Schizosaccharomyces pombe: one gene and its partners. The gene in region 3 interacts genetically with the main gene of each other region. Each region holds a gene or a part of one and is shown on either strand. Other genes may lie near its edges.

Region 1 (7,721 bases), on a different chromosome or scaffold from region 3:
CATTACTGTTGCTGTTGTAATAAACTACTATCATGACTAAATACCATCATTGACTATTATGATGTTTTTCTCTTTTTCCCAACCTCGCTATTCAAACATGAAACATGTATAATCAACTATTGTAAACACTAACTCCAATGCTGTCTCAGCGACTGCCCAGGACTACCTAGTCTAATTGCAGTACAATGGTACCATTTGCAATCCCGACACATGCGATAAATATAGATTATTCACGATTTTCGCACTTTCAACACTTTTATCATCCTCGCTCCGACAATATTGTTTCTCGTATAGCGTCATGTCAGTCGTAAACAGGCCTGAATAATGTCATCTGTTTTTTGTTCTGGCTCTTTGAATGATTCTCGTCGTTAAAGATATGAAAAAAAAAAATTGGCTTAATAAGCTCCTCAACATACACGCCACACCTCTTATTCCTCGCAAGCACTTACTGAATCACTCTTGCTTCTACAAATATGCAGATGTTTTATTGGTGTCAATTTTCAAAAAATACCACTTTACCATACCATACCATACCAGTCGACCTTTAATCACCCTAAAACATTAACCTTTTAGGGATCCCTAGTGAACACAACGTAAAATGCTGCAGGCTAGAATGACTGGCCTTCCCAATTCTGGCTAAGTTAATAAAGGTAAAGAAATAATGTGTGTAAAGGGCAATTGCAGATGAAGGTATACATTGAAATGCTCACACAAGTTGTAATCAATCAGAAAGCAAATAAAAAAGTTGCATGTAAATTTGTCTACGGTAAAGCATTAAATGAAATATGGACAAAACACAATAGTTGGAATTTGACTATTTGCCGTATAAATTCGTGTAGCTGGTTATCTGTGCTACGGCATTGCGAAAAGTACAATATGACTTTTAACATTAAAAATGATACCAAGTATTCGAAAATTACTTGCTGAATAATGATTGTCGAGGATATTTGGCATGTTTTTATATTAGACTAACTATGTATCCGTCACTAAGCAAACTCCAAGTAATTCACTCAAATGAACAGCTATCTTAGCTGATATTTAGATTTTGCCAAGTCTCATTTAATAATTGACTATGTTATATTCTTCATCAATATATTATTTCAATGAGAAAAACGTATCCAATTACTTCAAATTTAGCATTTCTGTAATTTTTTAATTTCATTGAAAAGTATGCTTTAATTGAGTTTTTTTCTGCCCCTCACATTCTACGGACTTAAAATAGGTGTATCTATTCATGCATATTCATTCATTCACCATCGTAATCCACCAAAAGGCAAATTACTCTAATCCTCCAAAATACAGATTCGTTTCGAACAACATACCCATACTCTACTATCTTCTTGTTCTTTCAATTTATTACATATAACGGCTTGTTAAGCTGCATTCCTAGAGTTTCTTTCGCAATATGGGAAAATTTGCTCTTAACTTAAACGCTGAGTTGACTGGTGTGAAAAATTTAGCTCCCAAGGATGAAGAATCCTTCTATTATGCTTTTAAAGTCCAATGTAGTGGTTGTCGAGAGATTCACGACAATGCCATTGAAATCTCCCGCAGCGAGACTCACAGCATACCTGGCAGCAAGGGCGAGGCTAATCTCATATGGACGTGCAAAAATTGTCGCAAAACTTGCTCTTTCGTTATAGAGGGGCCATTCTCTCCTTACAATGATTCTCAAGAGACGAAAAAAGTTCTCGTATTGGAATGCAGAGGATGTGAACTAGTCGAATTCATTCCTCAGGGAGAATGGATAGCTAATGGTGCTGAAAGTAATACACTTTTTGACGAAATAGTATTAGAGGATGATTGGTATGACTATGATGAAAATGCCTCTTCAGAAGTGTCTATTACAAATTTGGAGTGGTCTATTAGTAAAGCTTAGAGTCTAATTTAACTTTTTTTTACTCATGTATTTGTATATATCACTAAAGATATCGTGTACCCGTTTATAAATGTTGTTTAATGTACAAAAAAAAATTAATATAGTAAATTGTATTCATGAAGCAGTACCATCTTTTTCAAGCTGGCTTTTGTAATATTGGATTCTTTCTTCAATGCAGGCCTTCCATATTGGATAATTTTGAAGTCGTTTTTCGTAATCTATTTGAATCATGCTTGCTATCCCACTCCAAGGTTTTATCCGTTGCTTTTGAGATTCATAACCCTCTATACCATTTAAAGGGATTTCTTTATACTGCCAACTTTCTGAGAGGACATGCATCCAATACTGAATTTGCAATGCAGAACTTGTATCCTGTAAAACACTCTGTGCCTTTCTTCTCTCGGTGTGATTTATATGAAGTTCGTCTTTTCCAAAAGCTTTTGCCGATACTAGTAAATAAGCTGCGATTATGATGCCTCTTTTGTGTTCGATGCGCATGTCGTTTGTAACAACGGCTTTCACCAATTGTTTAACATAAGGTATAGCAGTTGAGCCCCCTAGTTTGGTACAAAGATAAGTAATGGTTTCCATCAGATCATCTTTAGCTGCTAAGGATTTAGTTAATGGAGATAAGATTTCTTGAAAGTAAGTGAAAAGTTTATAGTATTTCTTTTTTGGAATTGGAGTCGCTAGTAAATTTATTTCCAAATTTAAATCATTGGATAATCTTTTTAAAGAGTCAGAACAAGTTCAAGTAGAGTAATTAAACATCAGAAGTTACTTACAGTTCACAAGCTAAGTGCGCTGCCATATAAGGACGGCATAACTCTTCTGTCGCCTTTAGATTATGTTTATATTTGGACCATTCCAAAAATGACTCTCCTAAACTAATAAGCCGTTCATTATATTCTGTACTTTCAGTGGGAATTATTCTGCGTAAAGACTCTATAATCTGTTGTCGCTCCATGAGAAAATGAATATATTTAATAAAACTTTTATCATTTAATTTTGATTATTAATTATTGAAATCATGTAATCATTCATAATATCATAATAGTGGTGAACGCTTAGTTTGTTTTATGTCAATATGGTGTTTAATACAGAGACATTTAAACGATGTTTTTAATGCTGCTAATACTACCAGCTGTTTCAAAAATATAAAATCTATCTACTTGATGCACCACTGAATTTGGTGTTTATATTCCGTACTTATTTAATATGACTCTTGCTTAATCATTCCGGTTGCTAGTTATCTTAAATAATGTCACCAAAAGCTTAGAATTTAGACCTACATTCTTCAAGATATTACTACAAAACTTTCGAAGCAGTCTTCAAATTTTTTTTTATTTAATAATGAATTACGATTGCTTTATTGGGAGGTAGTGTTTTAGGCTTGATAATTCGGTATATTACTCTCTTTTAGTAGTTTAATCAAGGCTATATGAGGCATACAGAATAAAATATGCGTGAATAGCGTGAGTTAATATTAACTACTTTCCATGTTGGTTTCATAAATTTTAAGCGAACAAACAAGTTTAGGTGGAACCGTTGAATTATTTGATGACTTTTTAAATTTTTAAAGGAAAAAATGATGAACGATCAACTGAATAGTAATAAATTAATCCTTATTGATTGAAAGGTTGGATAATGAAATCGACTTACAACGTTACTGACAGGGTTAAGCTGACGGACTCGCACTTCTCATACAATCTCGGTACTCACCACTTTAGCAATTGAGGAAGTTGAGAAAAGTACTTAACTTTAGCATTAATCATATAGCTCAATGAAAAATATTAAATATGAAAAAAGAACATCATAGCCCTTGGCCGGACTCTTTGAAAGAATTTATTGGTAGATGCATCCAAGACGCTGAGGAAAACAGCCAGCCAGAATTAGAGGATGAAGTAAAATTGCTAATTTCTCGTCAATACGAAATGGGAAACATATGGAATGTTGATTGGTCTTCTATGAATTTAGAATCCCTAAGGAAACTGACAAATGCTCAAAATACAATCATCGAAGATAAAAAAAGAAAGGTTGAGAAGCCTGTTTCTGGAAATCAATTTTCACTTTTAAGTGAAGAAGATGAAGTGGATAAGAAAGAAAAAAGAAGAAGAAGGTTTGAAAATGGTTCTCGTTCTCAAAATAACGCTAAATCTGAAGAGCTAAAAGTCAACCCGGAGAATGGTGCTATTATAGGACGGTCCACAGAATTAGAGAAAAGGTATTTGCGATTAACTTCGGCTCCTGATCCGGATACTGTTCGACCCCTTCCAGTTCTTAAGCAAACTCTCGAACTTTTAAAGAAGAAATGGAAAGAAGAGAAAAACTATGCATATATATGCGATCAATTTAAAAGTTTAAGACAGGATTTAACTGTGCAAAGGATTCAAAATGAGTTTTCTGTATTAGTTTACGAAATACATGCTCGTATAGCTCTTGAAAAGGTACGGTTAATTACTTTAAAATATCATTTCTTCTTCTAACGTTCGACTAGGGTGATGTTGGCGAGTATAACCAATGTCAAACTCAATTATTTCATCTTTACAGTTTTGGTATACCAGGGAATACTAAGGAATTTTTAGCATATCGTATTCTGTATATGCTCTTCACTAAAAATCGATCTGGTAAGTTAATTACGGCTTACTGCTTAAAAGAATATATCTTTTGAATTCAAATTATTAACAATTTATAGAAATGAATAGCCTTCTCGCCAATCTAAAAGAAGAAGACAAAACAAACGCTGCTGTTACACATGCATTAGAAGTCCGTTCGGCGATGGCTACTGGCGATTACTATAAATTTTTCCATCTATATTTAGTCGCTCCCAACATGGGAGGTTATTTGATGGATCTTTTTATTGAGAGAGAACGAGTGCAGGCGATGATAATGATGTGCAAAGCATATCGCCCTTCTCTTACAATGGAATTTTTGGCTAACACACTAGCATTTGAAGAAATGGAAGATTGTGTAAACTTTTTTAGGAGTTGTAATGCTGTATACGATTCAAAAGATCCCAATCGCATACTGATGAAAGAAAGCACGGATAGATTCGAAAAATGCATGAAAAAGCATGCTGTGGTTGATATTAAAGGCCAAATCTAATAATAAAACTACTTCATTCCGCTTTTCTTTCTTTCCTCATATGTTGAATTAGAGAATTTAATAAAAAATGAGACACGTCCTTTTGGGACATTATGCTTTATAGTTCCAGTCATTGTCTATTCTTAACGTTTTACTAGACAATTAAGTAGAAGTTAATAGTTTTATGATTCCAATTCCTTTTTTTTTATAGATATACATTGTTCGTTTGGCAAAATTCTTGTACTCAGAGTTATTTACTTGAGGTTCGATACTGTATTCAAGCACTAGTCCTGCTTGATTAAGCAAATGTTCAAACGCATCAGGTTGGATTTTGAGGTTCTCAGGTGTTTGATTAAAAACCTAGAAAAGTAAGAGTTAGAAGTATTGATAGTCGTGACTTACAGATATTTTTTTTGCAGCTTTCAAGTACGAGTCCCATCCTTGAGGTTCTAAAATAAGAACACCATTCGTTTCCAATAAAGAACTAATCTTCCCAAAGAATTTAATGATTCCTTCATCGTGGTTATTTAGATGCACCCATTTAGATACGGATAATGCTAGTATTATTTTGAATTTTCGTTTCGATTCCCAGCGCAAGAAGTCAGCGGTCTCAAATTCTATATTGTGAGGGAAATTTTGCTTATTGAGAGGTGGTTGAAGTTGCACTGGTATCCTGGAAAACTTTTTAATGCTTGAAATGGGGTAATAATTAAACTGGTCTTCTACAATGGAACCAGGATTGCGTACAGGGCCAATTCGAGAGCTCACAAACTCAAGATGTTTTCGAGCTTTTTGGATGAGAACATGATCGATATCCAATCCCAAAACAAATGATGCACCAAATATTGAGGCAATTTGAGCAGACACTGTCCCATTATTGCATCCTATATCTAAAACTGAAGCCTCATAAAAAAGGGAATCAGGCAAACATTTAAGTCTTGGATCGATAATTGAGGTTCCTCCCCTCATGCTGTAATAACTGTGATAATTTCCATGTTGAAAATTCGACATCCCAAGTCGAGGAGGTTTTTCAAATCACCCCTATTTTTTATAAAAGTATAAATTTTGCAATGGAATTTAAACGAAAACTTACGAATCGAACTATTTAAACAAAAGCGAGAAGTTTCAATTTGTTGTTGTTACTAATACATTAACGATGTTTACATATCTTGAAACTCAACGTCCGACTCGTAAAAACTAGTCTTAAAGCATCCAACAATTTAGAAAGGATCGCTAGCGGTAAAAAAAATAATATCAAAAATATATATATATATATATTATCCTTTTAGCAATTCTTCGAAAGTTATTTTACTTTTGTATGTACCTCGATTTCAACGTCTTTTTGCAAACTTATCTTCGAAGGTGTTTTTCCCTTTATGACTAAAAATTTATTGCTTACGTAGACAGGTTAAGATAGTTTAAAAAATGTTTAGTATATGCAAAATATATTTCATTCTAATTACAAGAACGATTAGGTGGGCTTTTTCTTTGAACAAGATTCCTTCATGTAAAATAGCAAGATGAGAATAGTTTTACACTTTATAAGTCAATTCAATCTAAACTCAATCAAAATCATCATCCAAATCGTCATTAACGGAAGAATCTCGTTTACCTAACTCATCTTCTGCATTTTGTGGATCCTTCAAAGCTGCAATATCACTGTCCTTTAAGGCACCGGCTCTAACCAATGCTTCAGCTACATCAACTACACTAGTGTTCATTCCTCCTAAAGTAGCTAAGGTTAGAATTTGTTGTTGTAAGTCTCCATGACCGTATATCAAAAGAGTTGGCATCATCGCTTCAGGATAATTTTCGACTGCTTGTTTTCCGGGAATTTTTACAAATTTAATTTGGGGATACATTGGTGCTAGTCTCTCTAAGATAGCAGCTAATAATTTACAGGCCGGTAGTCTTGAATTGTAGTGTGTTAGTATTGACCCATTGAAAATGCAAACAAATGAAGAACAAACGTACGAGTCTTGGAACATATGCACAACGACAAACACTTCCTTGCTTGCATCTGTGACTTCAGCTGTATATTCTGGTTTCGAAATAGGATATACTGAGCCAAATTTTGCTTTTGACATTTGATCCTTCCACTCCTGCATCCGCTTGTTTCTGTACATTTGTAAAAACTCATCATCTTCTTCGTCCTCAAGCTCTGCTAACTCATCTAGATCCTTGTTTTCCAACCGATTCTCGTGGGCAAGCTGCTTTGCATCGACCAACGCATCGTCTAAAACATCATCCACATCAGGTTCTTTTTCGGGTAAAATTCCCTTCGAACGTAAAATATCATTCCTGATTTGTTAACTTCTATTGTTACAACTATTCATCCTCCATACCATTCGGTATCTTCGTCAGGATTCATTTGGATATATTCCTTTTATTAATCCCGTTGCAAAGTGATGTGTGTATTTACCTATTATAGGAACGATTAACTAAACATGTTGCTTCAGTATTGTAGTATAACGAAGCATACTTAAATACGGTATTATCGATATCGATGGTACCGTAGGTTCGTTTGACTAGGTTGTAAACGCTTTGGGTACGTTGAATGTATCCAAAGCACGCGATTGTACAATATGGTAAAATCTACCACAGTTACTAGACTTGATGGTATGTATACCTACAAAGTGGGATTAGTTAATTTTCTGTTGCTGAAACCATAAAGACTGGTCTTCGTTGAGTAAAATGAGAGTTGTATGTTAAAATTATTTCGTGATTGCCTCAATTCTCAATTCTCATTTTTGCTTTT
Region 2 (7,550 bases), on a different chromosome or scaffold from region 3:
TTCTTGTACTAATTTCGAACCTATAGCAAAATGATCGTCTGAATAAATTATTAGGATTACAGCTACACCCTTATTTTCGAAAAGCACACCCACGCGAGGAACACTTTGTTCCATTATATGTCGCTGCGGGCCTAGGAAGCTCTGGGAAATCTAAGGTCGTTTGCGACCTCTATGGCGCCGTCTCTGCTTTTTTTGGAATCGATGAATGAATCAATGTCTAATTTACAGTTATTTGTTATTACAGAGTGATAATTTAAAAGCTAAAAATTATTTTGATAATTCACTTAATGCTTTCAGGACAATTTTCGATTTGATGAACCATTTCCTAAAATTAGCGCATTTTGAATAAATCGCCAATTGATAATCTATACCAGTCACTTATAACTCAACTCCTTACATGGTATATTTTTAATTAATGATGTTACCAAGAAACCGTATTTAATAAACATCCGTCTTTGTTAATATATAAAAATTACGAAGCCGATTTATCCAATATGCTCGTTGAATGATTTAGATTAACTAAAGATTTAGTTATAATAAAGACATTAAAACTGGTCAATTTAGAAGATTGACAAGTTTTCATATTATAGTATCGCTTGGATATATTCTTTCTGATAGCCATCCAACCCCCACTGTTTACTACCATCGAGTTGTAAAGTCCTGTCTTTGGGCAATAACCATGCTCAACTATCAATGTTTAGAGACAGACTCCTATTGTGGAACATCTCATATTGAGTTAGATGGAATTCATATCTATATAGACCCTGGCAGCGATGATTCATTAAAACATCCGGAAGTACCCGAACAACCAGATTTAATCCTTTTATCTCATTCGGATTTAGCACATATAGGAGGATTGGTTTATGCTTATTATAAATATGACTGGAAAAATGCGTATATATATGCTACTTTACCAACAATTAATATGGGTCGGATGACTATGTTGGATGCAATAAAATCCAACTATATTTCAGACATGAGCAAAGCTGATGTAGATGCTGTTTTTGACAGCATCATTCCTCTTAGATATCAACAACCCACATTACTTTTAGGTAAGCAATTGTTCTTGTGAAAAAAGTCTTTTGAACTTTTGATTATACTAATTCATGATTTAGGAAAATGTAGTGGGCTAACCATTACTGCTTATAATGCTGGACATACCTTGGGAGGAACTTTGTGGAGTCTTATAAAAGAATCAGAAAGCGTTCTGTACGCTGTTGACTGGAACCATTCTAAAGATAAACATCTAAACGGCGCTGCCTTATATTCGAATGGCCATATATTAGAAGCTCTCAATCGACCAAATACTTTAATTACTGATGCTAACAATTCACTCGTATCTATCCCTTCCCGTAAAAAGCGTGACGAAGCTTTCATAGAGTCTGTTATGTCTTCTTTGTTGAAGGGCGGTACTGTTTTATTACCTGTAGATGCCGCTTCTAGGGTATTAGAATTGTGTTGTATTCTAGATAACCATTGGTCTGCTAGTCAACCGCCTCTACCATTTCCTATATTATTCCTTTCCCCTACATCAACAAAAACTATTGACTATGCTAAAAGTATGATTGAATGGATGGGTGATAATATAGTTCGTGATTTTGGGATCAACGAAAACTTATTAGAGTTTCGAAATATAAATACGATTACAGATTTTTCTCAGATTTCTCACATAGGACCCGGACCCAAAGTGATCCTCGCTACCGCGTTGACTTTGGAATGCGGATTCTCTCAGCGAATTTTGTTAGATTTGATGTCTGAAAATTCAAATGACTTAATACTGTTTACACAAAGATCCAGATGCCCTCAAAACTCACTTGCAAACCAATTCATCAGGTATTGGGAACGTGCTAGTAAAAAGAAACGTGATATTCCTCATCCAGTCGGTTTGTATGCTGAACAAGCTGTCAAGATAAAAACGAAAGAACCTTTGGAGGGGGAAGAATTGCGATCGTATCAAGAACTTGAGTTCAGCAAGAGAAATAAAGATGCGGAAGATACCGCTTTGGAATTTCGTAACAGAACCATATTAGATGAAGACCTTTCATCATCATCTTCTTCAGAAGATGACGACTTAGATTTGAATACAGAAGTTCCCCATGTGGCTCTTGGATCTTCTGCTTTCCTAATGGGAAAGTCTTTTGATTTGAACTTGAGAGATCCTGCTGTCCAAGCTTTACATACCAAGTATAAAATGTTTCCATACATTGAGAAGAGAAGGAGGATAGATGAATATGGAGAAATTATCAAACATCAAGACTTTTCTATGATTAACGAACCTGCTAACACATTGGAATTGGAAAATGATTCAGATGATAATGCTTTATCTAATTCTAACGGAAAAAGAAAATGGTCCGAAATAAACGATGGTCTACAACAAAAAAAGGAAGAAGAGGATGAGGATGAAGTTCCTTCTAAAATTATAACAGATGAAAAAACTATCCGAGTTTCATGTCAAGTTCAGTTCATAGATATTGAGGGTCTGCATGATGGACGTTCTTTGAAAACTATTATACCACAGGTAAATCCTAGAAGACTTGTCCTTATTCATGCTTCAACTGAAGAGAAAGAAGATATGAAGAAAACGTGCGCCTCTCTCAGTGCTTTTACCAAGGACGTTTACATACCCAACTATGGTGAAATCATTAATGTTAGTATCGATGTTAATGCATTCAGTCTTAAATTAGCAGATGATCTTATTAAAAATTTAATTTGGACTAAAGTTGGCAATTGCGAAGTTTCACATATGCTGGCTAAGGTTGAGATCTCTAAACCTTCTGAAGAAGAAGATAAAAAGGAAGAAGTTGAGAAAAAGGACGGTGATAAAGAAAGGAATGAAGAGAAAAAAGAAGAGAAAGAGACACTTCCTGTTCTTAACGCCTTGACTTTAAGATCAGACTTGGCAAGAGCGCCCAGGGCTGCTCCACTTTTGGTAGGTAATATTCGGCTTGCCTATCTCCGTAAAGCACTTTTAGATCAAGGAATTTCTGCTGAATTGAAAGGAGAAGGTGTTTTATTATGTGGGGGAGCTGTTGCCGTAAGAAAACTCAGTGGTGGTAAAATATCCGTTGAGGGCAGTTTGAGCAACCGCTTTTTTGAAATTCGAAAGTTGGTTTACGATGCACTTGCTGTCGTTTAACTAATGTATGAAAAAAAAATTTAATTAGGATTACATAAAAAAAAAGCTAGTAACTAGAAAGGATTCATGTACAACATAACTAATAAATGTTTGGTAATAGAAACGGAACGTAAAGCTTTATGAAACAATCATTTTCCTGCTTCCCCTCTTTTCTCTTTCCATTCAACATTCCCCGTTTGTCTTGCTGGCAGGTCAGTGTTAGTGGGCGTGGCCTGGGAAACAGGACGCATATAACCATCAAGTTCATCTTTTTCACGTTTGTCTTCCTCCTCTAGAGCCTTACGTTCAGAATCAGTTAGTCGGGACCGAAACTCAATATTAATCTCATGCAAAGCCTGTTGTAGGACAGATTCGGGGCATCGATCACGAGGAAGACCATTCTCAGGGTGACGAATATATCTATGCGATACATCGCGAACACTATCGACTATTTTTGCATTAGTAACAAATAAAATTAAAACCTTTTCCGTACTCCCAAAACCCAAACAATATGACATCTTCTTTCCCCAACCTAATGCTGTTAGAAATCAAGTTTTTCAAGGAGTTAGAACTCTACCTTGTTCGTATATCAAAGGTTCATCGAATGATTCTTCACCACTATCGACATGCACCCAGCGTTGCTGTTTATTACTATAGACTTCCGTCCACACATGGTCCTCAGCATTCCAAATCCACCTAGCTCTAGATCCAAGTGCTCTGCATAGGAAAGTGAAACACTAAGAAAATGTTAGCTTTATATATTTATAAATATTTTTAACTCACGTTGGCCCACTCTCCACATCTTCCCTTCCTTGAATCAAGCAATGCTCGAATGCGATTATACCTGGGAAATCTCTGATTATGCCCGCATACATTGCATTGATAAAGCTCTACGTTGCGGACTCCATTCCATTTTTCTTCCTCATTGGGGGGACCGTTGCCTGTCATATGAGTTTCACCCTACACATTGTCAATATTCTATATCGTACGGATAAAGAACAAAAAATTGACTACACCGTCAATCATAAAACATACTCCACATTTTTCGCAAGGTGGTTGATTAACCCAAACAAAGAATTCTCGCTTGAACCACTTTAACAAGGCTTGAATCACATAATCTTGGTAACCCCAAGATCCATCTCCCTCTTTTTCTAATTCAGAAGCATCTTGAAATAGTTTGTCAAGTGGTAAAATGCTAAGAGCATAATCCTGCAACTCTGGGTCTTCATACATCCACGGGTGTTGTGACATTTGACGTACTTCATGATAAAAGGGATATGTCTCTGGAGGCTGAGAAGCGTTCTGGGAATTCTTGCTTCTCATCATATCAATGAAACGTTGAGAAATCGCATGAAAATCCATTTTCAGCAAATGTCCTATTTTCAAGAAAATAGCTAACGATTGTAAACAAAAAAAAAGAAAAAAAAAGAAAAAATTAAAGAAGGTATTTGTAAAACTGGATTGATTTACAAAAAATGAGGGTAATGTATTCACGAATCACAATATACGCTAAATTCTAAAAGACAACGCTTTCCTGTAGTCTAATTATGAGTATAAAGACTTCAAATTGTTATCAATTGCAAATTACTACAAGCGTTTTAAACTAATTAGCATCGATACAGTTTTTTGTAACAATACAAATGGCGGTTATCCGCATTAAAAACTGTGGGAGAAACACCCAAATGCGGTTTCAGGGTATTTCAATCCTTACCTTTGAGCAATAGGCGAAGCCAGGCGGCACTCTGCTACCACTTTTTAATTTTATGGTATAATTTATCTTCCACTTTTCTTTTGTCTGTTTTCATTTTTAAAAAGCAAAAATCAGTTTTGATGGTTTGATTATTGGAATTTTACAATTTTTTTTTTTTTCTAATTTACTTCTTTTATACGAACGCTACTTTAATGGAGAAATTACTACACGAAGCCTTGCAAAATGGCTGCAAGCTTCATAAATCTGTCGAATTTATCCAAAGTCGAGACGATAACGCTTGTTTTGGTAGTTATATTGCTGTTGCACAAAACGATATAGCACCTGATCAATTACTTATATCCTGCCCTTTTGAGTATGCAATAACATATAACAAGGCGAAAGAGGAATTAAAAAAATTGAATCCAAATTTTGAGAGTTGCAATCCTCATATAACACTTTGTACATTTTTAGCATTGGAGAGCTTGAAGGGTATACAAAGTAAGTGGTACGGGTACATTGAGTATCTACCTAAAACATTCAACACCCCTCTTTATTTTAACGAAAATGATAACGCCTTTTTGATATCCACAAATGCGTACTCTGCTGCTCAGGAGCGTTTGCATATCTGGAAGCATGAGTATCAAGAAGCATTAAGTTTGCACCCATCTCCTACAGAAAGATTTACCTTCGATTTGTATATATGGTCTGCCACTGTTTTCTCATCTAGATGTTTTTCATCCAATCTAATATATAAGGATTCAGAGTCTACTCCCATTCTTCTTCCTCTCATTGACAGTCTGAATCATAAACCAAAGCAGCCAATTTTGTGGAATAGTGATTTTCAAGATGAAAAATCTGTTCAATTAATTTCCCAAGAGTTGGTTGCAAAAGGCAACCAGCTGTTTAATAATTACGGTCCAAAGGGCAACGAAGAGTTACTAATGGGCTATGGGTTTTGCTTACCTGATAACCCATTTGATACAGTGACTTTAAAAGTAGCTATTCATCCAGATTTACCGCATAAAGATCAAAAAGCTGCCATTCTTGAGAATGATTGCCAATTTCAGTTGAGCAATTTAGTATTTTTTTTGCCAAAGTCCCCAGATAAGGAAATTTTTCAAAAGATTCTTCAATGTTTAGCAGTTGTAACTGCCTCTTCTCTTGAACTTCGAAAATTGACAGCGCATTTGTTGACGGGTGATCTAGCTTCTTATGTCCCTTCTTTACGAGGCCAGATTAAGTCCTTGGAAGTTTTACTTATGTACATCGACTCTAGAGCTGACCTTTTGTTAAAATCAAATCCGCAAGTATCTCCGACCTCTGAAAGGCAGGTTTGGGCCAAAATTTATCGCGATAGTCAGATTAATATTCTTCAAGACTCCATCACTTATGTCAAAAATTATATGGAAGAATCACTCCAAAAAACTTACAAACCTCTTCCAAACCTTTTGCAATATCTCATCCTTAATTCGATATCTATTTTCCTCTTGCAACATCCTTTGTTTGCACCACTTTCGCATGCCATTGAGAGTCTCTATGGTTCAACCGATGCTGAAGCATTGGTCGCTACAGATGAGCAGGATATTTTAATGATATTGATTTGTGTATATTGTTTATCTATTTCTGAAAAATTACCTTTCTCAATTAGTATGCTTGTGGAAGGGTATCCAGCCGTTGCTAATCCAGAAGGTGTTGAAGTCTTTGAAATCTTGGATGAAATGTTTTTTCAACAATTTACAAACGTATTTGGGGAATCCAAGCATTTTAATAAAGAAAATGTTTCTTGGGCATTGCAATTGGTAAATGACGAAAGTCTCGACTTTTCTGGATTTACCTTTATTATTGCCCATAATTGATAAATAAAAATTAAGCGATTAATATATAATGTACGATGAGTATTCCAATATTGGGTTAGGTAAAGTAGATGACAAGACGTATTTTGATAAATGATTAAGGTGTTTAGTGTCTTTTATATACATAGGATGATTGTAGTGCATAGAAAATTAGGGTAAAGTTAGGTTGATCCAGTTTGCACAAGTTTGTATGGCCAATCATCAATTTTAGCAGCCACTATCCATTCACGAAGGGCTTCATGTAGCTTCTTATGGAATTTTTGACTAGATTTGTAAGTGCCTGCTTATATAAATATTGAAAAAAATTGCTTACCTGCTCTTTCGAAACCGTAACCCCATGATTCTTTCTAATCCACTTAGCTGGAGTTCCAAACGTTTTCTTTGACGTTTCTCTAAAGGTAAGCCTTCGAGTAATTCATTAATAAGATGGATGTGAGCTGCAACATAGCTGGTGGCTTCGGTTTCTATACCACCAATAAACCCCAATGGAGCCTCGTACACTTGATTATATTGTTTCTCCAAATCAATGACATTAGAATCGTGGTTCCACACCCAGAAGACATTACGGCTAACATCTTCAAGTTCGATAATCCAACGGCGAAAAGGTCGATCAACTCGAACGTTTTTTAAGAATTCAACCTCTTCATCCTTATCGTCTTTAATAGAAAACAAGGAAAAAACTTGCATTGCACCTTCTTCTTTGTCGAGATGAGCTTTGTAAAAGGAGTGAACTATTTGAACGAGTACTTCCCTTACGACAAAATCACATGGCTGTTTCTTTGAAAGCAAAAGGGAAATCAATCGCTCGACATTATAAGTGGATTGAGATAAACATTCCAATCCGCGCTAGGAAAAACGTTAGCAATTGTCAAAGGCAATGAAGACATAGGTC
Region 3 (7,645 bases):
GTCAATGAGCTTTCATCTCACTCAGGCACTGAAGAATCCGAATCCTTGAGCAATGGACAAACTTCTTATGATGATATAATCGCCATGACTGACGAGTCCAACTACACTCAGCTAGGAGACGATGATTTTAAAACAATTCATGGTCTCAAAAAATTTATGCTTTTCAAGATTTACGACTGGCCGATTTATTCTATTTTCCTTGCACTTGGTCAGATTCTTGCCGCAACTGCATATCAACTTACATTGTTTACCGGTACTAGCAATATTCAAACGTACGAGATCTACTCTGTTTGCGCGTTCTTTATCGGCGCTTCATTTGTATGGTGGTTTATGTTTGCTCGTCTTCCTTCTTATTACGTTTTGTCGATCCCTTGGCTTTTTTATGCGGTTGCTTTGTTTTTGGTAGGGCTTCCTGCGTTTGACACAGTCGCTCCTGGACGTGTATGGATTACGAACGTTGCCGCCTGGATATACGCCATTGCTTCGGCTAGCGGATCTATCTTCTTTTCTTTGAATTTTGGTGAAGAAGGTGCTGTGCAAACTCGTATATGGGTTTTCCGCGCATGCTTAGTCCAAGGAGTTCAGCAAGTATGGTCAGCTGCTTTGTGGTATTGGGGTGCCCATCTCAATAAAAGATTAACTGCTGGTGAAGCTAATACTTTTAAGATGTCTCCCGCCATTCCTTCAATTACTTGGCCACTGAGTGCTGTTAGTATCTTAATTTTTGCATTATTGTTTAAGGGTCTACCGGAATATTATCGACAATTGTCTGGTAGTATACCAGCCTTTTATAAGTCACTTTTGCGAAGAAAACTGGTGGTTTGGTTTTGCATTTCCGTCTTTTTGCAAAACTTCTGGCTATCATCTCTTAATGGGCGCTCCTGGTCTTACTTGTGGGATATTGGAAATATTCATCAGTGGCAAATTTTCCTTTTAATTGTAGCTTTCTATATCGTCCTTTGGGCCTTACTACTTGGAGTCCTGGCTTGGATATCTCGAACTCACTCCTGGATTATCTGCGTTTTTGGTGTCGGATTGGGTGCTCCTAGATGGTTGCAACAATTTTGGGCTACTTCAAATATTGGCTTGTACCTACCGTGGGCAGGTTATTCCGGTCCTTATCTTGGTCGTACACTATGGCTATGGTTGGGGGTGTTAGATGCTATTCAAAGTGTTGGAATCGGTATGATATTGCTGCAAACATTAACTCGTCGTCACGTAGCAAGTACGCTTATGACTGGACAGATAGTTGGTGCCGTTGCTACAATGATCGGACGTGGTGCATCACCCAACCGTGAGGGACCTGCTAATGTATTTATTGACTTTACTAAATGGAATCATGGTGATGGCTCTTCAATCTTAGCAAGCGCACCTTTTTGGATTAATATTATTTGTCAACTTGCTATTTGCGTAGGTTATTTGGCCTTCTTCCGTCGTGAAAACCTTAGTCGTCCTTAGTTTTCTAGTCTTAGTCTTACAAAGCGAAATTTTAATTGAAGTTCACGAAATCGGAGCATGTACAGTTACTGTGATGTTTTAAACAAAATATCCTCCAAGCTCGGTCTTGTTGAGCATCAGGTCTTTTAAATGAATACTTCAAGTTATGTTTCATTATATTCTATATCCACCTTATTTAACTTCCTCATATCCTTGTTACTATTCTTATCTAGTTTCCGTTGGCATTTGGCTTTGCTGACGAGAATGTGTTATATCTAAGCTTTATTTAAGGGAATATCACTTGGTCATACATAAATTGCATTATAAATTTCAATTAGCATAGTATCTACATTTTATGATAAGTGTTACATGTTTCCATTAAAACAAAATTAAATCTATCCGCCCTTTGTATGCTTACCGATTTCTTTCATACAATTAGATTTTTTGTAATACTAGTATATTAGAGGAGCTAGTTTTCATTGCTGTCTGTGGATGATCCCTCAACATATACGGCTTTATATACCTCTTATAGAATACGAATGACAAATAGAATATTTCAGTTTATCATGTAACAATGCTATTAAAAACATAAGTTGCCGTTATTTAAAAGAGCATGGCGAGACAAGATAGTACCACCACCGATTTACTTTCACCAACTATTGTAAACTAAGAAGTCAAATTTTGGTGGAATACAATTAGCAAATGTCACGGGAAATGGATCTATTGTTTAAGAACGAAATGACTATTTCGCATCAGAAAATAGTAATGATGCTATTCATAAAACCGTATGCAGATGTGAATATAAAAAAGTAGTCTATGGCTGTTAAATTCTTAAGATGCGAAAGGTAATAATTCTTTTCTAATTACTCATTCCTCTCTAATGTATACACCAACAACAACAAAAGAATTGTTTTATAGCTGTAGACAATGCGACGAACAATTTGTTAAATATGGAAAACCAGGACAGCTTCATCAGAAATTAGGTTAAAGATCTGTAAAAAGCTTATTTATGCTTATTGCACCAAAAAATATATAAATGAAAACATAAACAGCGGCTGTTAAAAGCCTATTAATTAAATACCAAGTTTCAAATGAAGACACATTGCTCAGCTATCTTCGTCTTCTCTATAATTATAGATGTGCTTTTCGCGATGCCCAGACCTCGCAACATTTCCAAAATTTTTAGGGTTTGTCCTTCCAGGAAAATCTTCAGTGCTTTTAAATATACTAGATTCTCCAATCTTCTTTCGTTTGCCAACGCGTCCAGTTTTTACACCTCGAGCAGCAAACTGTTTCCAAGAATTTTGTGATGCTTCAAGTGCTGCTTTAGGTTTTAGTTGTTTTTGCTGCTTTTGGGAGTATGAAACACTAGGAACAGGTGGAGGGTTAGAGGGAGGAATGGGAGAGATCTTTGGTAGGGTTGAAACATGCTGAGCGACATTTTGGATCGGAGATACGTTAGCCGTTACAGCCGCCGAACTCTTCATATCTGGAGAAGAGGCACGAGACGCATAATTGGAAGGACTTGTAGACATAGATGCTACAGATATTGCTTTTGTAGGCTCTCTAACAGGTGTACTACGTATAGTGGTAGATTTTTTGAGAATTTCTTTATTTCCTTCTATTTCCTGACGTTTTTCCTCAGGCATGGCCTTAATATGTTTGAGGGAAACAGTTTCAATGTCAGGATAGTCAAGAAATTGTACTGTGTACTTTTTGTTTGCACCGAAGCCTGAAACAGCAGTAATACGTGAAGGATAAAATAAATAATCTCCTGAAACCCATCGGGCCATTACTAAATTTCCAGGCGTAAAGTCGATATGTACTGGCTTTGAAGTATTGAAACCTGCAACACCATTTTGGGAATTTTGAAACGTATTTTTATCATTTTCTACACTTTCTTGTAGTAAGTTTTCAGTAAGGCTAATTAATTCCTTTAAATCATTTTCCAGTAACTGTAATTCCTCGTTTTGGGGAGTCTTCTGAAGAGAAATTTGAACGAGAGCAAGCTGGCTCTTGTATTCCTCTAATTCCTTCTCCATACGATTACTTTTATAGATTTAATAGATTTTTTTTTCAAACAGTAAAAATTTCCAAGTGTAATGGCTTTATCGCCAAAACCGGTTGTAAGTGTAGATAATATGTGAAGCAGGCGCTCAGTGAAGTGCCTGAAAATTAAGCTCAGCTATTACACTAGGGTGAAGAAAACAATATTGGAGTGAGATTAAATTTATACTAAAAGCACTAATTCTTTAACTCAATATACTAAGACATTATTGATAATAGTTAAAACAAAGAAGAATATTTGATATTTCTATATTCAGTATAATCAAGACGTAAAAGAAAGTATTCTATCAAAAATTTCATGCTCTCGAAAACTATGGATGGGTAAAAAGAACTGGATAATCAAGTATTTTCGAGGTTCGTTTATGGCGTGCATGATATCGATTAAAGGCATTGAACGTTTAATGCCGCATAATGGAGGATAAATTATTAATCCAGAAGACAATATGTTTCCGAACTCCAAGCATTCCTTCTTTATATGAATTTATTATTTTCTAGGTCAGCTAGAAGCAATGGCATTAGGAGGTACTATAATTTAACGATTTCACTCGTATATCTTTAAAATTTTGGAGTAAATGAAATTCTTACAAAACAGTTTTACTAGGACCATAAGATCGATCCATAAAGACCTTCGAGACTTCCCAGGCAAGCCAATCGCTGGTAGTCGTTGGCAATAATCCCATTCTTTGCAGCTTATAGACTCCAATCCCCATAAGCAATAATTGGAATAAAATATAAGCACCCATAGCGGGCCAAAGGGTTCCTGGGTGGGTGCCTTTAAATGGGGTGAAGGCAGATCCTGTAGATGTTATTGCTTTCAGTGGATTTACAAGCAACATAAGAGTCGTCATAATACTGAAAATTTGTAGTGAATTACCAGACATGTATGCTAAAATAGCGTTCATAGGAATTTGTTTAAGGGGGGAATATGCAAGCTCCCATGCTTTCTTTAGTAAGAGATCCTTTTGTAATTCTTCCTCTCGTTTAGCAAATATGGAAGTTGAGGAAGCTGAATTTCCTGAATGAATGTTTTTGGAAACCAACGACTTCTGTTGAAATCCTCGAGGCGTAGGGAACTTGTCAGAATTGTCAACGATCTTTTTGGGCTTCTTTGCTAACGCTGGTTTGACCAAATCGATCCAATCTGTTTCTTCGTTAATGTGCATCTTGAAAGGGAAAAAAGAGAAATTTAAAGTTGCGACTAAATTTTTGGACTCGTAAACCAAGGAATAAATTTAGTCAATGAATGAAAAGCCTGATTGCAGCTAACCTACAGTCAAAAAGTATTGGTAGCACCTCAATTATGTTTCTAAAATACGAAGACCAGCCTTATTTGATGTTTCTGAAACAAGATATTTCACCAGAAGTCAATCTCAGTTTTTCGTTATTTGATGTAAGTTGGGTGGTAGAACAATCTTTTCAAGCAAATTAATAACTTTGGTTGAAGTTAAAAATTTTCTGGTCTAAATAATTTGAGAACACGCCTCAAAATATAATATTTCAAAATAAACAATATAGTGGAGGTGGCAGATGCTAAGGAACGAAACTGGTGGTAATAGTGAAAAGCCCATCAGCTAATGAATCCCAAAAATACAAGCGCAAACAATGGCAAAAAGAAAGCCATCCTGTTATAAAAGTTCAAGATTAACTTGCTTTTGTGCTTTCTTTGGTTTTCTACTGTCTCATGGCCCGGATATGAATATGTACAACGCTTAAACATCTAATGTTAATGATTTCTTGTTAATTATCAAACCCAACGATCATTATTGATTACAGCTGGAATTAGTTTTGGTTTCTTTTATGGATATAGGATCTTGATCTTGAAAAAGTTCTGACTCTTTATCTTACAATGGTAATACCATGCTCAATGATTGATATTTTTACACTGAGATGTTTTCAAATATTCAATGGATAAAGAACATATCGTTTTGTAACTTTTTAAGCATAATCTCGTTAGCCAAGCTATTACATAAACAAAGATCGGATACAGTATGAAAGTACTCATGGTGTAAATATTTAGGAAGACGTGTTTTGGAGGGCACTCTTTGTGAGAATTTTTTTCTTATTCTAGAATATGAGTTTTAACATATTGCCGCAAGCCCAAAATTGAGTTGTACGACTCAATATACTCTGCCTAAAAAGTAAGTGCATTTTCGAAGCATAAAGAAAAAAAATGAACATTACTGGAAATTTATTTTGAAATAATCGCTTTTTAATCGTGTAATGTATTGTTATTGATTACCTTACCGATACTGATAATGCTTGCTTTTCTCCTGTTTCGAGTTTCCGTTCAAAAGACTTCTTGTTTATGATATATGACTGCGCATAAGAAGTGATAATTGTCCTTGTATATTAATATTGCCTGAAATAACTTGTAAGACCGAGCGTCTAATTTTTAAAAATATATAATATCAAGAGGAAAAACTTGCCGTTCTGCTATGATAGAGCAAAGTCGAAAACAACGTGAACCTTCAACGAAATTCTTTACAATTTATAAACCATTTCAAGTCCTCCATTCTTTAAAACGGAATGATTCTCCTTGCACTCGAATCTCACATAAATATATTCAACGAAATATAAAAGACACTTTGTTTATTTTCAAATAGCTTGTTTGCTAGAATTGCTGCTACGACTAATTCAAAGGCAGCCTTTGGAAATTGAACAACATTAAATACGACTCTAGTTTCCATTGTTTCATTACTGCTCTTTTATACCGTTCACAGTTTTCTAAGACCCCTCAAATAAAAGCAATTCGCGCTTTTGTAACTAACTTCATTCTGGCCTAATTCATACGAAACACTAATGAATGGGATAAGGACCGTTGGGCAGTTTTCTGAGTAAAGTAATAATAACAGTATCCTGTTGCATTTGATCAAATTATAAAATGATCTAAAAAACTCAAGCACCCATGATATGAACCGTAAAAAACCTTTCCTTTTTCAGAGACCTGGGTACAGAAACTTGATCACGGTTTATTATAGATAAGGGCCACTGTAAAAACATAATTCAAAAAAATATAAATCAATGTTATCTAAAAAAGCAGAGAAATAAGAAATTTCACTAATCAACAGTAAACGTGTGGGAAAGGTTGAATGTTGTAAGACTAGCGTCACATCCCTCCAAATTATAAATCAGAACAAAATTTATACTGACGCTCACGAAATACAAATTACTGAAGATTCATAAACAGACGATATTTTCCTTGATTTTTGTTTCAAGTTGGTTTTCCCCATTTTGAAACTATTTGGTATACCAATTGCACCAGAACTGAAAGTATAGTAGACATTTACTTTTCGTGAGAATTAGAGAATTTCTTAAAATTATTTTTCTTCTCGATTTGACTGTCATTTCACAATGCCTATTGTGAACGGTTTTAAAGTAGGACCTATTGGCTTAGGCCTTATGGGTTTAACTTGGAGACCCAAGCAAACTCCCATTAAACAAGCCTTTGAGTTAATGAATTACGCCTTGTCCCAAGGTTCGAACTATTGGAATGCTGGAGAATTCTATGGCATCAATCCTCCTACTGCCAATTTAGATTTGTTGGCTGATTATTTTGAAAAGTATCCAAAAAATGCCGATAAAGTATTTTTATCAGTTAAGGGAGGAACAGATTTTAAAACACTCGCTCCCCATGGAGATCCTGAATCAGTGACTAAGAGTGTAAAAAATGCACTTACTCGTTTACGTGGAAAGAAAAAGCTAGATCTCTTCCAATGTGCCCGAGTTGATCACAAAGTTCCAATTGAAACTACCATGAAAGCATTGAAGGCTTTTGTAGACTCAGGAGAAATTTCATGTGTCGGTCTTAGCGAGGCTTCTGCTGAAAGCATCAAACGCGCCCTTGCCATCGTGCCTATTGCGGCAGTCGAAACCGAATACTCTCTATTCTCACGAGATATCGAGAAAAATGGCATTCTCGATACTTGTACACAGCTCTCTATCCCAATAATCGCTTACGCGCCTTTCTGTCATGGACTTTTAACTGGGCGTGTCAAGACTGCTGAAGATCTTAAAGACTTTATCAAAGCATTTCCCTTCTTACGGAATATGGACAAGTTTAATCCAAAAGTTTTTGAAAAAAATATCCCGTTTCTTAAAGCAGTCGAGCAATTGGCTCAAAAGTTTGGTATGAGTATGCCTG
Region 4 (9,959 bases), on a different chromosome or scaffold from region 3:
TCTTGTTAGTATTAAATGAAGAGATTTCAGTTACAAAAAAGAAATTGCGGAAATAAGTGTCATTTTGGCCTAATGGAAGGAGATGCTCCAAAATTCGGTGAAACAACTATTCAGCCGATGCTTAAGCAAAAGTCAAAAATCGCTTACTAATTCCTGTAGAATTAATACTTACAATGTTGAACTGGTGCAACATCAGCGATCAGAAGACCAACTTCAAAAGCAAAACACATAAAAAAGGTTCACGAATTTACAAAAATAATGATCGCCATGAATAGAAAAAGATTTCTATTTGTCATTATTGTCATATTAAAATACATAAAGGTGTATATTGGAAAGTTTCCTACTTTCTTAAGATAAGTTTCTTTAAGAAATTTCAAACTTGAGATGCTTTCAGTTTTTAATTTGCTCAATTTGGCTGTCCAGTAATCTGATTCAACAGAAATAAACTATGATAAAAATAAAATCGATAAGTTTTTCTTTATAAATCATATATTCATGATTAGATAATTCAAGCAAATCTCTCGCGTTTAAATACTTCATTTTGAATCGGATGTAAATATTTCAAAAGTGTTGTATTTAGATTATAATGCAAATTTTTCGCGTTTTTCGGAATCTATTGACAAATGAATGTGAGCAAATTATAATATTTTAAAATTCGATTTTGACATCTCTCCTTCTGAACAAAATGTCCTTTTTCTAATGTTCAAATACAAATATCCGGTGCTGAACTTCATAAAATCGGTAAAGTAATTTACGTAGTAAACTTCTCACAATTTTACTTATTGATACGTCTAGAGATTTGCGTATATCAAAGAAAAAAGATACCAAACAACATTTAAAGCACTATATCGTAAAAATCTAGAACTGATAAAACGTCATTTATAAAATTCTCAAGGAAAGGTCCGTATTTTTTGTTATTTACTTGACGTGCTTAGAGAAGTCTAACCATTGTTTTCTAACTGCTTTCACATACTACTACCGCACTATCTCTTTTCATAAATAATTTCGAAACAAATCATTACTGTCAAGATTGCTATTTAAATAGTAAAATCACTATAAAAAAACTGTAGTGGTTTTTCTTAATGAAAATAAATTATTGTGTTGTTTTACATATACACACTTCTATAACTTACTTTATTATGTGTATGTGCGCCTTTTTTGGACTGCTCTTTTACATTCGAAATACAAATCATCTTATTCCAGAGTATTTTTCATGAATAAAAATTCGATATTCGTACTAAGCAGAAATATCTAAATGGATTAAACTATGTATATATATAAATGTTTCTTTCTTCTTCTTGAAATTTTCTTGACTGCTATTTTTTTGAAAATTTCAACCGAACTCTTCTTAAGTAATAACTCAACTATCATTTCATTGTATACCGCATATTCTTATTTTATGAACATTGATATGAATATTCAATGCTCAAACTGTACTTGCACTGGATCATTATATTATCAGGAATATCTTTTTCAGTTATCCTATTTTTTTAATATATTATTAATAAACTAATAAATTGTGCCGTTAATAACACAATACATTTCATGGAATATGCACTAGAATTGTTAGAAAATACAACTTACAGAAAGCAGCCCCTTTTTTTCTTCTTTCCATTGCATGCAGCATCCTATCTTAAATGTGAGTTGATGTATTTTCGAAATACTTCGTCTCCTTTCTTTAATATTTGCCGGTCAAATAAATGTTCGGTTGAGGGGCCGTATTTTTAGACCAAGTCCAGACTCATCGACCCAAAGTAAAAACAGTTATTGAGTAAGGAGGCGTAATTTATAGTAAAATCTAACGCAAATGTGGGACTGAATATTTTGTCTACATTTGTGGAAACATCGAAATTTAGAACATTTCTAAAGTTGCACATGGTTTTAAAGATTTTTTTACGTGTGGTTGAAAAGAATGTATTATTTCATTCGTAAATGATTTTATGGATATTATATTTTGATAGCAGCTTCATGCTTGCTCCGCTCAAAATATCTAATTGAAAGACAGCCATTTTAGTCATAAATGTTGTAGAATCTGCTCAGAGCTTACCAAGTTACTCTCAACGCTATAAGCAGAAGTAAAATGTACACAAAAAGAAATCCCAAGTAAGTATTGCGGTTTCTCAGAGTTGAGATTTTTTTATTTCACGCGCTTAAGAAATCATTTCAAGTTGTAGTTAGGATTAATAGATCTGATAGAAGTATAATCGTTACAAATAGACCGCCGAGGCAAAGCGAGCTTTTTTTTTCAGAAAACTGACAATACTGGAGCCAAATTAAACAAGCGTTTTCTAGTTGCAAGCTTCCTGAATTAGTAAATTTAATTGCTATTACGGCTGCGAATTACATGTAAAAACTTTTAATTAATATTATTTGCGAAGTTGATTCATTTTGTCACTATCAATATCGTCTAATTAAAACAGAAAAAAAATATTTGCCATCGCATACTAGTTCTTCTCTTCCCAAAACAGAGGTTTGGTATTCATAAAATGACTACTGGAATATCCAATATATTAAACTCGGATATTAAACATAAAAAGCAGGGTTCCGGACATTCAATTTCCAAGTGAGTTTGAACTTTATAAATACATACCGTAAAAATACTGGAAATGAAAGTAATTTTAAAATTTAATAAACTACGGTTTTAGTTTTACGGGAATCCTTGCATTCCGAAATAAATTTTGATAATGCCTTTGGAAAAATAATCGGTTTATATAATGACATTAGTGAATCTACAAGCTGTTCCCACTGATTTTATAAGTTTTTTTACAAAATGCTTTCAGTCGTTGGTTTGCTTTATAATTTTATAGAAGTTTGATTATTTAACTATTATACGAAAACAATACCAAATAATGGGTTACCGAAAAATATTTTTTAAACAGCGTGTTCATGAAAATATTGGTATTACATTCAATATCTAGAATGTATTTTATGTTTAAAATGTACAGAAAAATTTCATCCTCGTTGAGCTTTTAAATATTAACAAAACATGTTTTAACAAAATCGACAAAAGTGAATCATAAAATTATATATCATAACATAACGTCCAATTATTCTAAATAAAAAAATCTTTAGATATGAGTTAAAACTTTTTTGATATCTTAACTAATTTAGCTAAATCCTAAGTATGTTAACCAAATAGAGAAGCAAGTATTTCATGACGTAATGGTCATATCGGCCATTTTTAATATCTGTTGTTTTGAAAAACCAAATGTTTTAAGGACTAAAAATTACAGGTAGATATATGAATAAATAGCAAAAAAGAGAAGAGAAAATTTCGGTCAAAGTTGAACTTGAAAAGGGGGTTGGGCAATATAAGTAATCATACAAGGTAATCGTACTACTTTCGCAGTACATAGAGTAAAGAAGAGAGCAAGAAAATTGTGTTACGCAAAGCGGAAGAAAAATCGGTAATACGCAAAAACGTAAAAAAGAAGTCAACAGGAATCCAAAAATTAGGTTTCAAAGTAAGTTGAGGGAAGAAGTAATAAATTCGAGACACCGCAATATAATGGGAAAATCGTCTTTTTTGATATGAAATCAATTTTAATTGAAGCTGCCGCTATTGCAACAACATAAGGGCGTCCCAAGCATTAAGAAGCTGAAAATTTTTACAGCAACAAAGAGTAACACAACAAAACCCTAGTGCTTAAATTAAACAAAAAAAATGGGGAAGACATAGCTCTTTGTCCATCTCAAAAGATAATATAAAAGCTAATATATGCTTAGTATAAAGAGAAAAGCTGCTCCACAATAATAAGAATAAATAAATAAAAAGTAAATGGTTTCAATCTTCTGCATTTTGTGACATGAAAGATTATTAAGAGTTCAATTATTCTCAATCGGAGAATCTGTTTTTTCCAAGTTTTCAACCTCTTCTTCCTTCTCAAATTTTGCGGTAATCTGATGCACTTTTTTATCGATAAACCCGTTATCTGGATAATTAAGTGGAGACTCTGGGCCCGTAAATATTACTAAATCATAAATAAGTCCTCCAGCAATACCACCTCCTATGGTACCGCCCCAAGCACCCCAAGTCCACCACCAATGATACAGGTGAAATGAATGTGGTCCATAGCCAATCCACCATGCAAACATACGAGGTCCCAAGTCACGAGCTGGATTCAGAGTGAAACTTGTTTGATATCCAAGAGCCATACCAATAGCTGCAATAAGCAAACCAACGATAAAAGCAGTCATGCCCTGGGTTGGTGGAGAGTTGGTATCATCTAGAATGGCGAATAAACATCCTACCAAAACGGCTGTTCCAATAAACTCATCGAAAAATGCGTTTCTCCAAGTGACGTATGGTTTTGGATTGGTGTACAAACAACCACCTGTTGCCGGTGTTCTAATATCTTTGCCTCCTTCAAATTCAGTAATTGAACTCCAATGGTAACCATAGGCAAGTGCACCTCCAAAGAATGCACCCCAGATTTGGAAAAAAATGTAGATTGGCACTTTATACCAAGGAAATTTGCGAAATATGGCTAATGAGATAGTCACAGCGGGATTGACATGACCACCACTGATTCCACCAGCTATATAAACGCCAAGCATGCAACCAAATCCCCAAGCAAAAGAAAGGGATTCGAAGCTTCCACCTGCTCCATTAGTGACGGTAGCTTGCAAATTACTGCCTACACCAAACACAACCAAAACCAAAGTGCCCAGGAACTCAGCAAAACCCTCACGAAAAAAGTGTCTAATCTTGCACCAATAGTTGAGATACAGGGTTTCAGTATCGCTTCCCGAGTCTAAACTTTCTTCAGCAATAATTTCATTAGGAGGCATAGTAATATCTTGAGATGAATCTTGTTCAGCTATTGACGGTTTCCTAGAGAAACTAACATTATTTCTTGGGGTCTCTGGTTCAGCATTTTCCGCATGCTCTACCGTTATCGCGGAAGACTTACGCTGGGTTTGGGGTTGCTCCTCAGCAATGGATGGTTGACGGCTGCTTTGAAGCGAGAAACTAACTTTGGGTCTTGAAGCGGCTTGTTCCGCTATGGAAACGGAAGATTTATTGCGCGGCAATTGAGCTTCTTCATCATTAAGCTTGACTCTTGATCCAAAAACAGCACTCTTCATTTTCCGTTTCCAATTGGGCGATCCATCCATACCAGCCAAAGAGACCGAGGAGTTTGCTCTGGAATTTGCTCTGGAATTCACCCTGGAATTTGCTCTAGAACGAGCTTCCTGATTCTTTTGAGATATTTTTTCTACCACAGAGTTACCAAGAACATGTGGCAATGGTCCATTCAAACTCCACACCGGTTTGTTGGGTCTCCTCCCAGCATTCAATTCTTCGTAATAAGGATCAACATAATTTCGACGCGATTGTCCGGATATATCTTCAAGTCTTCCAGCAAGGTACCCACCAAGCCAGGGTTGAGAATCCGAGTCGGCAGTGTTGTCCAGGCCTTTGAGGTTGGGTGAAGAGAACGCAACTTTTAGGGTATTTTTGGGACGCATTTGTCGAGCTTTAGTGGTATTGACTCTTCTTGGCACGTCCGTCGTATTGAAAGTGTCTAATTCAGTTGTGGGACCATCATCATGCACGCTCTCATTATCTGAGGCTGAAGGAGATGATGATGGTGTCGAGAAGCGTAAAGGGACGCTCATTTAGTAGTGAATTAGACGGGACAAATCTTGGCTTTTATGGAAATTTTTTGAATGCACGCGGGTACTGGCGGGAATACCAAAATTAAGGTTTGAAATAGCTTTGGGAATAAGGTGGAGTAAAACAGTGCATTATATACTCATGCAAGTGGTCCAGATAACCGAAGTTAAGCAACCGTCGATGACAACGTGTAGTGGCGGCACAAATTTGGTGACGAATCTTAAGCGCAAATCAATTTATCTACAGAATATTAAGAATATGTGTTATAAATTTCCCTGAATTGGACAAGTTTATACAATGCGTTTGCACACTCGCATAACTGCCGCTTCAACCGTAATCAACAATTGGTCAGCTAGGCGGGTATGCCGGATATTTGCAAATCTTAGAACGCACCGCGCGCGGGGTAGTAGTAATGTAAAGAATGAGATAAAAAAGCAGGAAGGGAACGTTTCTTTTCAATTAAAAATGTCTGTAAAACAATTTGTATCTGACGGACATATAGTACGCCCATACTTGCTTGGACTTGCTAGAAGTAACCCTGGTCTTACTGTTATTGAACATGATCGTGTGATTTACAGGACAGCTTCTGCCCCGGGTTCTGGTGATCTTCCTAAAGTAACTTTAGTGTCTGGTGGTGGTAGTGGGCACGAGCCTACACATGCAGGTTTTGTTGGTGATGGAGCCTTGGACGCTGTAGCTTGTGGAGACATTTTTGCTTCTCCCTCTACTAAACAAATTTACTCTGCCCTCAAAGCTGTTGCTTCTCCTAAGGGAACTTTAATTATTGTCAAGAATTATACAGGCGATATTATTCATTTTGGCCTGGCAGCTGAGAGAGCCAAGGCAGCTGGAATGAACGTTGAGCTTGTTGCCGTAGGAGATGATGTTTCTGTAGGCAAAAAAAGAGGTGCACTCGTAGGAAGAAGAGGTTTAGGAGCCACTGTGCTAGTACACAAAATTGCGGGATCTGCAGCAGCATTAGGATTGGATCTGCATCAAGTTGCTCAAGTGGCCCAATCAGTGATTGACAATGCTGCTACCATAGCAGCTTCATTGGATCACTGCGCCGTTCCCGGTCGCAAATTTGAAACCAACTTGGGTCCAGACGAGTATGAGATTGGCATGGGTATTCATAACGAGCCTGGAACCTTCAAATCATCACCACTTCCATCTATTCCCGAGCTAGTTACAGAGATGCTTTCAATTTTGTTTGGTGAGAAAAACCCGGACAATAGTTTCGTAGAGTTTTCTTCAAAAGACGATGTTATCCTTCTAGTAAACAATATGGGTGGTATGTCCAATTTAGAGTTGGGATATGCTACTGAAGTAGTTTCGGAACAATTAGCCAAACGAGGTATCATTCCTAAAAGAACCATGTCTGGTACGTTTGTAACCGCTCTGAACGGTCCTGGTTTTGGAATTACATTGGTCAATGCTTCTAAGGCTACTCCAGATATTTTCAAATATTTTGACTTGCCAACAACCGCTAGTGGATGGAACGTTTCTTATCATAACGCAAAGGACTGGGAGGTTTTGGCTGACGGCAAGGTGCCAACAGCTCCCGCTTTGGAGCATACCCGTAATGAGAAGCACAGCGGTGTAAAGGCTGACCCAAAGATGTTTACTAAAATTTTAAAAGCTGCCGTTGACGCTATCAATGAATTTGAGCCAAAGACAACTTGGTACGATACGATTGCAGGAGATGGTGATTGTGGAACAACCCTTGTGAATGGTGGAGAGGCCATCACAAAGGCTATTAATGATAAATCGATTCGATTGGATGATGGTGTAAATGGTATTGACGATTTGGCCTATATTGTTGAGGATTCGATGGGAGGTACATCGGGTGGTCTTTACTCGATTTATTTGTCTGCGCTAGCCAAAGGAGTTCATGAGTCAGGCGATTCCGAATTATCCGTGCATACATTTGCGTTTGCAAGCAAGTATGCACTTGACGCTCTTTTCAAATACACTAGAGCCCGTAAAGGATTCCGAACGCTTATTGATGCTATTCAACCATTTGTTGAAACTTTAAATGAGGGTAAGGGACTTGATGCTGCTGCGAAAGCTGCCACTGAAGGTTCTGAACAAACTAGAAAAATGGATGCTGTCGTTGGAAGAGCATCTTATGTTGCTAAAGAAGAACTTCATAAGCTTGATAGTGAGGGAGGATTGCCGGATCCTGGTGCCTTTGCATTGGCCGCTATTTTGAACGCAATTGTTGAGGCAAGCGAACATTAAAGCGTTTTTTATCACTACCTCAGAATTTGGCTCTATGTTAATAATGCACATAGTTAATGTTGGAAAGGCATATCATGTAACCTGAGTTTAAAATTGTTTTGGCTTTCTTTTAAAATTTTCACCATAATTACAAAATGTTTGATTAAATTTTGTATCCACTGGCTTTTTTAGAACTTTCTTTTAAGAATCAATATATTGCGAATAAAAAAGCTTGGATCAAATGATTACTGATGTATTATTTACACTTTTGGTCCTATTGTCTAGTATTAATTTGTAGGAGGCGTTGGAGAACGTGAAAATATTGCAGTAGTTATAGCTTACAATTCGTCAAAAAAAGAGAATTACATGCAGAAATTGTTAAACGAATTTACCTGCCGAAATGCTATGTAGATCTGATCTGTAAAGCGAAAACGAAGTAGACAATCACATGCACTGTATGGTTTTTTTCAAAAGACTGACATGTTACTCGGTCGGCGATCATAAACTGATCATTTAGCCAACCTTTCTGATTCTTAGCACTTGGTAGATGTTTGCTGAATACTAGACGGAAAATTACGTGAAATGTGTTGACAGAGAACGCTATTATCCAATAAACATTTTGGACAAACTATTTTGTCTAAAATGTAATTTTTCTTCAAATAAAGTAAGCGATTAATTTTTTATTATGTTTGTTTTAATGAAGAAATTTGAAATCTAGAAAACCCAAAAAAAAATATCTTGCATGAATTCAGTGTTTCCTTAAGGAGATCCGCACACTTTCAAGTTGTCTCGTTCTGTGTTATGAAACAGCTAGTTAATTATAACCATAAAACTAGACCGTAAATCTTTGTACGAATTCGGAAAAAGGTACGTTTTATTGAAGCAGCTAATGGATGAATTTATAAAGCATTCAGCCTAGTTTTTTCTTTTAAGATTGATAAAAATTTTTGTAATTTCAGAAATTTCTAGTTAGGTAGTATATGACGAATATGGAAATAAATTAGGCCGCATTAAACTTTTGAAATTGTATCCTATAATTACTCTCAATTGAAAATGATAATAGTTGCAGTAGTTATAATCACTTAACGAAACTTTATTGAATATGAAATTAACAAATGTTGTTGGCGGTCAACGACAGGTGCTATATTTATTCTTAACTAATCCAAAAATCTCTAAGCGACACCAATACTATTTAAAAAAGTTCTTTAAAGAATTTTAAAAAGATTTGGTAACCTAAATCAAAATATTTTCGATTTTCAGGATCCGATAGGTTGGCTCGAGCTGCCATCCATCCGTGATGCATTTTTCCAAAAGTCTCAAAATACGATTCAGAAAAATATGGAGAGTTTTCGAAACTTTTCTTCCAAGCATCAACTTCCTCAGGATCTTCGTCCTTTGAACATAGAAAGCAAACTGGACAATGAACATGTTTAGCGTCTACAGGATCAAGAAGAGATGGATGCGCACATCCAATACGCAAGAATCTTTCTTTATTAGGATATGTAATCAATACTTTGGCACCCCAGCAAAAACCATAAGCACCTATTTTGACATCTTGACCATGTATCCTTTCAATGTCCTCTATGACCTTTGTTAATTTAGGCCAATGTAGTGGAGAAGAAATTTTCTCCATAAATTTACTACGTGCTTCTTTTTGCTCAATCGTTTTTGGATCTATCATTTCTATAGAGGCTGTTTCACCATTCAGAAAATCAGGAAGATAAATAGCAAGCTCGTGATTTGCCAACTGATCAGCTCCTTCCTTTATTTGTTTACTTAATCCGAAAACATCCATAAATCCAATTAAAACAACTTTACTTGAGCGCTTACCAGTGAAGTAAGTCTGCATCCCTCCAATGTCTTTCAGCATCTCGCCTTGGAGTTCGTAATTACGGTTCGTAGGGGCCGCACCGCTTTTAGTTGGGCAGCAAGGCATTTTTTTACTTCGAATGTAGTAAATAGAGTAGAATTTACGTTGAATTAGTGCTCATTTTGAAATTATATAAAGTATAGTCGGTACAAACCCGAGGAACCGAGGGCTCCGTTTTCCGCGGAGTTGGCCATAAACTAGATATCCAAAAGTTACTAAGGAATAAAAGATATACAAATGAATTTAATT

The links.
Region 1: mutations in spf30 (region 3) and iss9 together harm fitness more than expected from each alone (negative genetic interaction), as found in Schizosaccharomyces pombe (one large-scale study listed by BioGRID).
Region 2: mutations in spf30 (region 3) and ngl1 together harm fitness less than expected from each alone (positive genetic interaction), as found in Schizosaccharomyces pombe (one large-scale study listed by BioGRID).
Region 4: mutations in spf30 (region 3) and SPOM_SPAC977.17 together harm fitness more than expected from each alone (negative genetic interaction), as found in Schizosaccharomyces pombe (one large-scale study listed by BioGRID).

Annotation. Positions count from the first base shown.
Region 1 is NC_003423.3:2,962,480-2,970,200, reverse strand, and holds iss9 (nuclear export factor), read left to right. Parts: upstream 1-3,592; 5' UTR 3,593-3,678; coding exon 3,679-4,326; exon of another isoform or gene 4,327-4,376; coding exon 4,377-4,506; intron 4,507-4,574; coding exon 4,575-4,984; 3' UTR 4,985-5,096; downstream 5,097-7,721. Other genes in the region: protein ess1, read left to right, coding at 1,406-1,879; origin recognition complex subunit Orc6, read right to left, coding at 1,994-2,606, 2,665-2,846; bmc1 (Bin3 family regulator), read right to left, coding at 5,126-5,323, 5,366-5,974; plp2 (phosducin family protein), read right to left, coding at 6,526-6,874, 6,938-7,264, 7,309-7,334; SNARE protein Sec22, read left to right, coding at 7,549-7,582. UniProt on the Schizosaccharomyces pombe protein: Required for transcription elongation. May also be involved in pre-mRNA splicing.
Region 2 is NC_003423.3:1,123,555-1,131,104, reverse strand, and holds ngl1 (peptide N-glycanase), read right to left. Parts: upstream 4,634-7,550; 5' UTR 4,478-4,633; coding exon 4,151-4,477; intron 4,076-4,150; coding exon 3,899-4,075; intron 3,853-3,898; coding exon 3,693-3,852; intron 3,648-3,692; coding exon 3,609-3,647; intron 3,564-3,608; coding exon 3,265-3,563; 3' UTR 3,137-3,264; downstream 1-3,136. Other genes in the region: SPOM_SPBC1709.16C (aromatic ring-opening dioxygenase), read left to right, coding at 27-209; mRNA processing protein Cft2, read left to right, coding at 680-1,052, 1,116-3,136; ribosomal lysine methyltransferase Set10, read left to right, coding at 5,018-6,661; GTPase-binding protein Rid1, read right to left, coding at 6,820-6,922, 6,972-7,504.
Region 3 is NC_003421.2:1,379,947-1,387,591, forward strand, and holds spf30 (splicing factor Spf30), read right to left. Parts: upstream 3,599-7,645; 5' UTR 3,480-3,598; coding exon 2,544-3,479; 3' UTR 2,109-2,543; downstream 1-2,108. Other genes in the region: cell wall alpha-1,3-glucan synthase Ags1, read left to right, coding at 1-1,458; chaperone EMC4, read right to left, coding at 4,086-4,667; akr7 (pyridoxal reductase), read left to right, coding at 6,856-7,645. UniProt on the Schizosaccharomyces pombe protein: Involved in spliceosome assembly.
Region 4 is NC_003424.3:62,806-72,764, reverse strand, and holds SPOM_SPAC977.17 (MIP superfamily protein), read right to left. Parts: upstream 6,086-9,959; 5' UTR 5,623-6,085; coding exon 3,826-5,622; 3' UTR 2,944-3,825; downstream 1-2,943. Other genes in the region: dihydroxyacetone kinase Dak2, read left to right, coding at 6,086-7,861; SPOM_SPAC977.15 (dienelactone hydrolase family, implicated in cellular detoxification), read right to left, coding at 9,033-9,776.